Linked DNA regions of Ovis aries. The protein of the gene in region 2 interacts with the protein of the main gene of each other region in a pairwise test. Links are inferred from orthologs where the notes say so. Each region holds a gene or a part of one and is shown on either strand. Other genes may lie near its edges.

The links.
Region 1: the proteins of CYTH1 (region 2) and CYTIP interact in binary tests that used the Homo sapiens proteins (3 or more experiments, as listed by UniProt). The link is inferred for Ovis aries from reciprocal best matches to the Homo sapiens genes CYTH1 and CYTIP.

The regions. Positions count from the first base shown.
Region 1 is NC_056055.1:152,296,565-152,301,529, forward strand, and holds the start of CYTIP (cytohesin-interacting protein), read left to right. Parts: upstream 1-1,990; 5' UTR 1,991-2,059; coding exon 2,060-2,236; exon of another isoform or gene 2,237-2,524; coding exon of another isoform or gene 2,525-2,527; intron 2,528-4,965. UniProt on the Homo sapiens protein: By its binding to cytohesin-1 (CYTH1), it modifies activation of ARFs by CYTH1 and its precise function may be to sequester CYTH1 in the cytoplasm.
Region 2 is NC_056064.1:52,960,168-52,964,475, reverse strand, and holds part of CYTH1 (cytohesin-1), read right to left. Parts: intron 3,739-4,308; coding exon 3,674-3,738; intron 1,538-3,673; coding exon 1,471-1,537; intron 1,197-1,470; coding exon 1,078-1,196; intron 788-1,077; coding exon 707-787; intron 1-706. UniProt on the Homo sapiens protein: Promotes guanine-nucleotide exchange on ARF1, ARF5 and ARF6. Promotes the activation of ARF factors through replacement of GDP with GTP.

The DNA.
Region 1 (4,965 bases), on a different chromosome or scaffold from region 2:
GTAATTAACAAGGGTGACCATACTGGTATGTACTGGCTGAATGTCAAATTTGCCCTTGACTCTGATTTTACAGCCATGGATCTCATGATCTAAAATGTTCTACTAGTTAAACACATTTCATAAATCTAGTAAAAATTTTATTTTCCAATTTCTGATTTAACATATTTTTCTAGAATCTATTCTTTCAATAGATTTCTATAATTTATATTAGCTTAAGATTAGTATCACACACTTAAGTGATACAATTTTAATATCTGTCAGTAAAACCTGATTGTTGGTTGGCTTAGAGTCCTTAGACAAACATGTCATTTATATTTGGTATCTTGAAATATTAAAATATTTACCTAATTTTATAAAATTCCCAGAAGATGGGTGGACTGCTGTCCTCAAGTAATAGTGTTAATTTACTTCATGTACCTTATAGTAACCTGGAGATACTTTAAAACTCAATCTCTCTCTCATCTCTCTCTCTGTCTCACACACACACACCCCATAAATGTCTTTTTAATTGACCATATTCATTAGTTGCCAAAGTCTCTACCACTCCCTTTTGTATTACACATTTATATTATTTTATCCAACTGAACCTTGAAGGCATATGTGTTTGTCATCCCTGATTTAGATCTTTATAGGGCTTCCCTGGTGTCTCAGATGGTAAAGAATTGCCTGCAGTGTGGGAGACTTGGGTTCGATTCCTGGATTAGGAAGATCCCTTGGAGAATGGAAGGGCTACCCACTCGAGTATTCTGACCTGGGAAATCTCCATGGACAGAAGAGCCTGGCGGGCTACAGTCCATGGGAAGCAAAGAGTTGGACACAACTGAATGACTTTCATTCATTCATTCAGGTCTTTGGGGACATCAGTTTGTTCATGTCGTTATCTAGTTCCAATCATCATGAGTCATGCTGTGATAGCATTTTAAAAATTTCTGAGGTGACTCCATCTCTTAAGCACCATTAACTCTGAAGATTTTACGATTTACATTTGGCAGATTTTGCCTGAGCTGAATTTGCTTTGACTTCCATTTTAAAGACTTTTGACTCTTTAACATTCTACTATTGAACTTCCCAATGATTTTGAAAATGACAATTCTCTTTTTATACTATACCAAACTTCTCCTTTTGATTTTATTTTGAATCTTTCTCCTATTTATGTCTCCTGCTCCTCCTCTGAAACTAATTTCCTTAAAACTGCGTTTCTCCAACTTCCACCAATAAAAGCGTCAGTGAAAGTGAGTAATTCATGTTGTTGCCCTTGGTGCATATGCGTTGGCAGGAACCAACTGGAAATGTTCTTGTGCCTGTTTATTTTGCCTATTACTTTTATGCCCTCTCCATTCCTCCCTTGGACCACTTGATGATGTCGTAACTAAGTCTAGTCTAAGACATGGCCAACTTTGTGCTCTAAATGTGATTCCCCTCCCATTGCTCTTTGTAGACATGATGGATAATTTTAGTGAGGATGAACCAGTGGAAGTTCAACCAGAGGAATGCTGAATGGTCACAGCCCAAGTGGCAGATATAAGTTTTTTTTCATGAACATCAATCAGCTAAGATGTACTTTGGTGAAAGTACATTACAAGGACTTCATGAGAGGACATTATGACTGGACCCTGTAGGTCTTGCTTATACTCATGAGGAATCAATATCCACACATCCTGACCTTTACACTACACTGGACCATATTAAGTAGGAGAGTGGATGTCAAACTAATGGCAGAATTTGGGGAACTTTTTCTTTTTCTTTTACAAAAAAAGGTAGATGGTGTTTTGAACACAACTTGCCATAGCACATGAAAGAGTTCTGGCTGTTTGAAGAGAAAGAAAAATATTTTAATGCTGAAAACTAGCCTTCTCTCAGGGGCTTAAAGAAAAAAGTACCGAGAATGGGAGTGAACTGCAAGATAGTGTTTGTGTAACAAGTACCTCAAACCACAGAAGTCACATGGGCTCTTTCTGCTTTGCTACTTTTGATTGCTTGTCAGAGGGTTATACTTTTAGCTTTCCCCACCCTGCAAGGCCACTCAACCATGTGCTAGCTGGAGTAATCTTTACTCACAATGTCTTTACAAAAGCTCAGGAAACAGAGCAGCAATGGCAATTTCATGGAGTACTGTGCTGGTCCAGGGCATAGCTCTTACTCCACGCTCACAGGCAGTTTTACTATGGATGATGACAAGAGAAGGCTTCAAATGCTGGCAGATACTGTGGCTACTTTGCCTCGGGGAAGAAAGCAGGTATGAGTGCTATTTTTTACCTTTTACAGTATTCTTGTTCTCTTGAGAGAAGAGTGATATGTTTGTTTGACTGCATGTTAAAAATGTTATTTCAGATCCTTTGAAATTAGTGGCTCAGAGTATGGGTGAAGAGAGAGGCAAGGGGCCCAGAGAACTCAGACTCCAGTCATTAAGTCTTAAGATTTAAGACCATAAGGAAACATTTGAAAGGAAAAACTTGAAAGATTATTTTCTCACTACAAGAGGTATTCTGATGAATTAAAAATCATTAAGCATATCAACTTGAAGATGGTATGTATTATAGACACAATCAGTTTGAGAATTATTGTTCTTTTTTCCTGTATGTCTCCCATTGAGTCCTTCCCTCCCAGCCTCTCTCCCAGTCTCTAATAGTCATGTCAATTCATAATCCAGGGAAAATACATGATTTTTTAGTGCAAGTTTTATTGACAAAATTATCTTTAGTTCTGGGCACTGGATGTACCTCACGCTATTGGGAATTAAGACTTTTATTGGATAAATGAGTGCAAGATCTGCCACTTGGTAGCTGTGGAATCTTGAGTAATTTTCTTCTCTAAGATTCAGTTTGCTTTTTTTCTGAAATGAAGATAGTAATAGAACCATCCTGCAGGGCTCTTCTGCGGTGTAAGTGAAGAAAAGCACAGTGTTTAACAGAATGACTGACATGTAGTATGTGCCAAATAACTCAGTAATTATGTTATTATTTTAATTGTGATTGCAAAGTATTTCCCTAGAGAGGAAAACTCATTTGGGAAAATCCATGTCCAACTGGATTTATTGCGAGTTTTTTTCAATTTCCAACTTGTAAAAAAGGATCAAACTAGAAAATCTCTTTAGATTTTGGTTAGCTAGCTTGCTATAATGCTCCACGTACACATCTGAATACAAAAATATTTAGAATTGTTTTAAAGCATGAAGTTTTGCCCTTAAATCTTGCATGCACGTTGTATGTTCTTCTTAAGCCTTCTAATTTCAGGATTACAGAGTTATAGCATAGTGGAAGAGTCATGATCTTTTTTAAGTGATGCACATAGCTGATTCTTTGGTATTTTTCAAGAGAGATAAGGGAATAATTTGTTCTGGTTTGGATGATTGATCTTTTTCAATTCCAAAGTGCCTTTATGACAATAAGTTTAATAAAAAAAAAACATTCCTATCAAGTTACTGTCTGAAAATAAAGCCCCTTTGGGAAGTACCAAAACCTTTATTCACTTTTCAGGTGTATAGCAGTGTAGAGTGTATAAAGATGAGAAGGAAAATTTCCCGCCTTACAGGGTTTACGATTGAGTAGACAGAACAAGTAGGTGTTGTACAATATAAAGTAACATACGTGCTCTAACCCAAGTACATGTCTTTGAATACAACCTTCAAGGATAGATATACTGGATATTGAAGGGTATTCCAGAGCAAAGGATAATTAAAATGCTGAGGTACAGATCTTGGGGCCCTTAGGGAAGTTTAAGTAATCGTATATTACTGTGTTAGGTGGACCCAATGAGTGTCTGTATGGGAGAGGAGGGGAGACCTCAGAGCTGGGCTGTTTTTCATAAGACTTGGACACTTCCCCTGAGGAAGTAGTAATCTGACCAGTACGCAGGGAACTGATCATGACTGAATACAAGGTTTCAGGAACCTTACTCTGGAAACTTGCTTGTCAGTAAATGGGTAGAGCCTAGTGGTGAGGGAGCAATTTTTGCAGTAGTTGGAGAAAGAGGAACCGAAGGAATTGAGAAGAGACACAAAGACTTTGCTGTGAAAAGCGGTGAAGAAGAGGGAGCCACATTTGATTTTAAGCCTGAGTGAAGAAAGCGTGAACTAAAAAGAAGCAATCAGGGAGGCTATGGGAGAAGATGAGAATGATTTAGGTATATGAGACACAGGTGTGTGTGTGTGTGTGTGTGTGTGTGTGTGTGTGTGATCTGTGTATCTATGTACACATACACACACACTTTCTCACCAATTATTTTCCTTATATGTTCACATCTTTTGTAGGTCCTTTCTTCTCCCTTTCCTCATATTCTTTCCCATGGTGAGACTCCTCCTATTTAGACAGTTTTTTGTTACTGTTGTGAAATTTACTTAAAGAAAATAAAAAGTAAAACAAAACATTTGTATATGATATATTTGATTCTGTACAATTATCATCAATGAGACTTGATGCAAGTTTATTCCAACTGTTTAGAATTTTCCAAATGGATGTTCATTTCCTTTAACTGGTCTTTAGAGAATAACTATTCATTTGGCACTGACTGAATTGCAGGCAACGAGATCCCTGTGAAGCAATCCCACAAGCAGGTGTTTTCTGCCCACTGTTATTTTCAACCCTTTCAGTGCTGACATCAACAATTCATACTTCTTGTTATCACTGGCTTTGGTTTCTGCCAAGCTGTATCTGGTTAGCCCATAGTTTCAGATTAATCTTCAGAATCACTGGGGTGTTTGTACTCAACATTATTTAAAAATAGATTTCTCTGTGTTCATATTATCTTGATACCTGTATTTGTAGGAGGTGACATACACCCAGTGAGGTCTCCCACTTTTGAACACAGTTTTAGGAAAAAAAATCCCTGCAATGGAAAATGCTGTAGGAAGGAGATGGTATGAAGTAAGGTTATCTTGATGAATGTTGTGATACTAAAAGAGTAGCCATGGGCCTTACACCCATTTTCCCAAGGGCAGTAGGTCACCCTTGGAAAGTAGTTTTCACT
Region 2 (4,308 bases):
GGCAGCATATTAAAAAGCAGAGACATTATTTTGTCAACAAAGGTCTGTCTAGTCAAGGCTATGGTTTTTCCAGTGGTCATGTATGGATGTGAGAGTTGGACTATAAAGAAAGCTGAGCGCCGAAGAATTGATTCTTTTGAAGTGTGGTGTTGGAGAAGACTCTTGAGAGTCCCTTGGATGGCAAGGAGATCCAACCAGTCCATCTTAAGGAGATCAGTCCTGGATGTTCATTGGAAGGACTGATGTTGAAGCTGAAACTCCAATACTTTGGCCACCTGATGCAAAGAGCTGACTCATTTGAAAAGACCCTGATGCTGGGAAAGATTGAAGACAGGAGGAGAAGGGGATGACAGAGGATGAGATGGTTGGATGGTATCACCAACTCAATGGACATGAGTTTGGGTAAACTCTGGGAGTTGGTGATGAACAGGGAGGCCTGGCATGCTGCGGTTCATGGGGTCACAAAGCATCAGACATGACTGAGAGACTGAACTGAACTGAACCATCCAATCATTTCAATCACATATACTCAAATCACCACCCAAGGTACAACTTCACTAAAACACCAGGTGGTGCAGGACCCATGGGGTTGCAAAGAGTTGGACACAATCAAGCAACTGGACTGAACTGAACTGAACTGTGCAGGACAGATCTACAACCAAAGACCCGTCTCCCTCAACAAGGTACTGGCTGCAAACATACTCACCGTAGGGCCTGGACGAGGTTGAGATCGGTGAACTCATGCAGCTCCACAAATGCATGAAGAACTTGGATGTTAAACTCATCTCTAGCAAGAGAAACAGAAGACAGAAGTCAGACAATGAGGCTGAGAATCCAAAGTCGTGCAGACCCCCAGTCAGGCTGCCCCTAGGCTGAGCACTGAGACCCCCCGCAGCCCAGGAGGCAGCCAAATGTTAGATGAAAGATCTGCAGCCTCTGTGTACTGGCTGAACACAGGATACCAGCTGCTGGACACCTCCACCTGTCCCGGGACAAAGCTCGGGGCATCTTGGAGTTTGTTTCTCTAGGTAACTGCCGCCCAACCTTCTCTACTGCAGGGGTCTCCGGAGGTCTTACCTCTCCCCCAGGTAGTCACCAATGGCTGTTTTGTTGAGCCCTTCCCCTTTATACAAGAACTGGGCAATGTCTTCACAGGTGTTCTTCAGCAGATCATTCTCTATTAAGAACTGGATCCCCTGGAAAGACAGCGAAGACACCAATAGTGCTTCAGACACCAGGAACATCCAGAAAGGGGGTGGGGGCCCAGGAAGAATTGGGTACAGCTGCTCTGCACACAGAGGAAGTGCCCAGTAAGTACTTCCTATGCTCTGCAGGAGGCAGGGCTCATGGCGTGAGCTGTACTCCATGAAAGGAAGGGAGGCTGTCTCAAATGCCCCAAGCTGCAGCTGACGATGTGGAAACTGCCACTTTACAGACTGCAGGCTCTGGCTGCTGGCTTTTGTCACTTACTTTTTTAGGATCCATGTTGAATTTTTTCCTGCCCATGGCTACCTGTTTGTTCCTCTGCATGTTCTTCCTGTAAAACAACCATCACAGCCACTTCAGTACTCTGGGTAATCGGGAATTTCTGAAAGACTGACATAACTCCCACATGTGTCAGTGGAGTGCAGTGATGTCTGAGATTTATCTAGGAAAGCTCAGGCACACTTGGGTCTAACTGTGGAAGGTCAACTGAAATCCTGACCCTGGTCCTAGGCTCCTTTGTTTCTTCTACTACAGTGGGTTTCTTTTTTTTTCCATGTCATTTTTGAAATTTTATTGAGGTATAATTTACATACCATATAACATACCCATTTTGAATGCACATCTGAACAATGTTTAATAAGTCTGCTGAGTTGGGCAACCATCGCCATAATCCAGCTTTAGAGCACTGTCATAGTTACATATTAACTATGTAAGTTAATAGCTCATGAATTCATCTGTTCATCCATTCATCTGTTGGGGGACATTAATGCTAATTCCAGTTTGGGGCTATTTTAAATAAAAACACTATAGATGCCCTCATGCGTGTGGGTGTGTTCTCCTTTCTCCTGAGTAAATACCTGGGAGCTGAACTGCTGGGCACAGCAGGGGTATACGGTCAACGTTAGGAGGAACTGCCAGTCGGTTTTCCCCAGTGTTTACACCGCTTGTTCTCACCAGCTCTCAGCAACATGAGGCACCACCTGTCTATTTAACTCTGGCCATCCTAGTGGGTGTAAAGTGGCATCTCCTCATGACTCATGATATTGAGCATTTTTCACGTGTCTATTATACATGTAAAAGCGTTCATGGCGGTTTTTTGCCTGCTTTTTAGTCAAGTTGTCTTTTTATTAGTGAGTTTTATGTGCTCTTTCTATACAGATTCCAGATACAAGTCTTTTTTCAAATACAGGTAATGCAGGTCTTTTCCCCTTGTGTGAAGCCTGCCTATTCATTTCCTTTTTGAAACATTTATTTGGCTGCGCTGAGTCTTGGTTGCAGCACACAGGATCTTCAGTTGCGGCACATGGGACCTAGTTCCCTGAGGTGAGGTGAGGCGAAGTCGCTCAGTCATGTCCGACTCTTTCTGACCCCATGGACTGTAGCCTACCAGGCTCCTCCATCCATGGAATTTTCCAGGCATGAGTACTGGAGTGGGTTTCCATTTCCTTCTCCAGAGGATCTTCCCCACCCAGGGATCGAACCCGGGTCTCTAGTTCCCTGACCAGGGATCAAACCCAGGCCCACTGCATTGGGAGTGCAGAGTCTCAGCCCCTGGACCACCAGGGAAGTCCCTATTCACTTCTTTTAAGAGTACCTTTTGTAAGAGCAGAAATGGTAAATTCTGACAAATACCAATTTGTCCATTTCTTTGAAGCAGCAATTTTTTTTTTTTTTAGTGGCAAGTAAGAAAGCTGTTAATTCAGAACTGGCAAAGCAGAGACTGGACAGGATGAGCTGGCTGGTTTCTGCTGGACATGCAGCTTCACTAATCCACATGGCCCTGTGCACACAAGTTTAAAATAACAAAATCCAACGGTCTCCTGAAGCTAGACGGGGAGACTTAGGCTTAGAAAAATACAGACATGCAGTGAATTAGAAACAGCCCATTTACGACATTAAGCAGTTAGAAAATGGTCTGGGAACCTCATTCAAAATTAAACTCTCAAAGCAACTAACATTGCTTTAAGGAATGTTAAAGGAAAAAAAGAACCAGCAGACACGCCTTGGCACTTTGTGCTATAATCTCACTTCTACGTTCTCTTAAGTGTTAGGGAGGCACAAGCAAGCTTGCAGTGATGCCTAGACACAACTGGGCCTCCAGCCTTCTGGAGCTGCATCAGCAGCATCCGTTAAGCTTTTCCTTTACCCAAAGCAAAAAATGGAAACACTAAAATAGGAACCCAGTGGATAAGAGAAGAGAAGAAATAGTTCACACAACAATTTAAAGGCAGTTTAAGATTTTGGGGGAACCTGCCAAGTTCTCCAGTTCAGCCTTTCCAAAAACATCAAAAGCCTTCACATTCAGGAGTCCCTGCGTGGAAGGCAGAAAGTATGGCTACATACATGCTTGCTTAGAAAAGAAGGCAGAAGATGCACTTTCTCCTTAAGCACGTGGCACGGGCACAATTCTAGGCTGGCACTTGGCAATGCCACAACCACAAAACCACCCAGAAAAGGACAGACTCACCTCTCTTCTGTGGACCCCAGGCTTTCAATTTCATTAGCTACTTCTGCTATCTCATCCTTCAGCCTCTGCAAAACACACAGTCCAGAATCACCAGGAGGAAGATACAGATCAGAACAAAATCACCAAAATCTCCTGTAACTCGCTCTGACCAAAAAGTAAAACAGAGCAAACAAAATAAAGACAACGCCCCCCAAAACCTAAAAATTTCTGGAAAATCCGTCTGTTCAACAAATGTTTCTTGAGTTCCTATCAGACTGTAATCATTCTAGGGAATACAAAGAAGAGAAAGATAACATCCTGACCTCAAGGAGTTTACAGTCTAGGAAAGAAGTTTATAATCATATACACTATGTGAAATATGTATTTTCTACTGGAAAACAGCTGCCTGGACAGTCTGTCGCAGTGCATCTGCAGCTCACTGAAGCGGGGACAAACCAGGACAAACCAGTCCCCCAGGCACCCAGCTGCCCAGCCAGCAGTGCCTGTACTGGGCCAACACTGCCGCCAAGTGGCCGGCAAAGGGAACGCCACTCCTGGCTATGCCTTCCACCGCCTGCCCCATCAAGCAGGTCTGCACAGCGGAGAGCTCACTGGCGAGGCGCAGGGGGCTTTGAGTGAAGAACTGCTACGCTTTT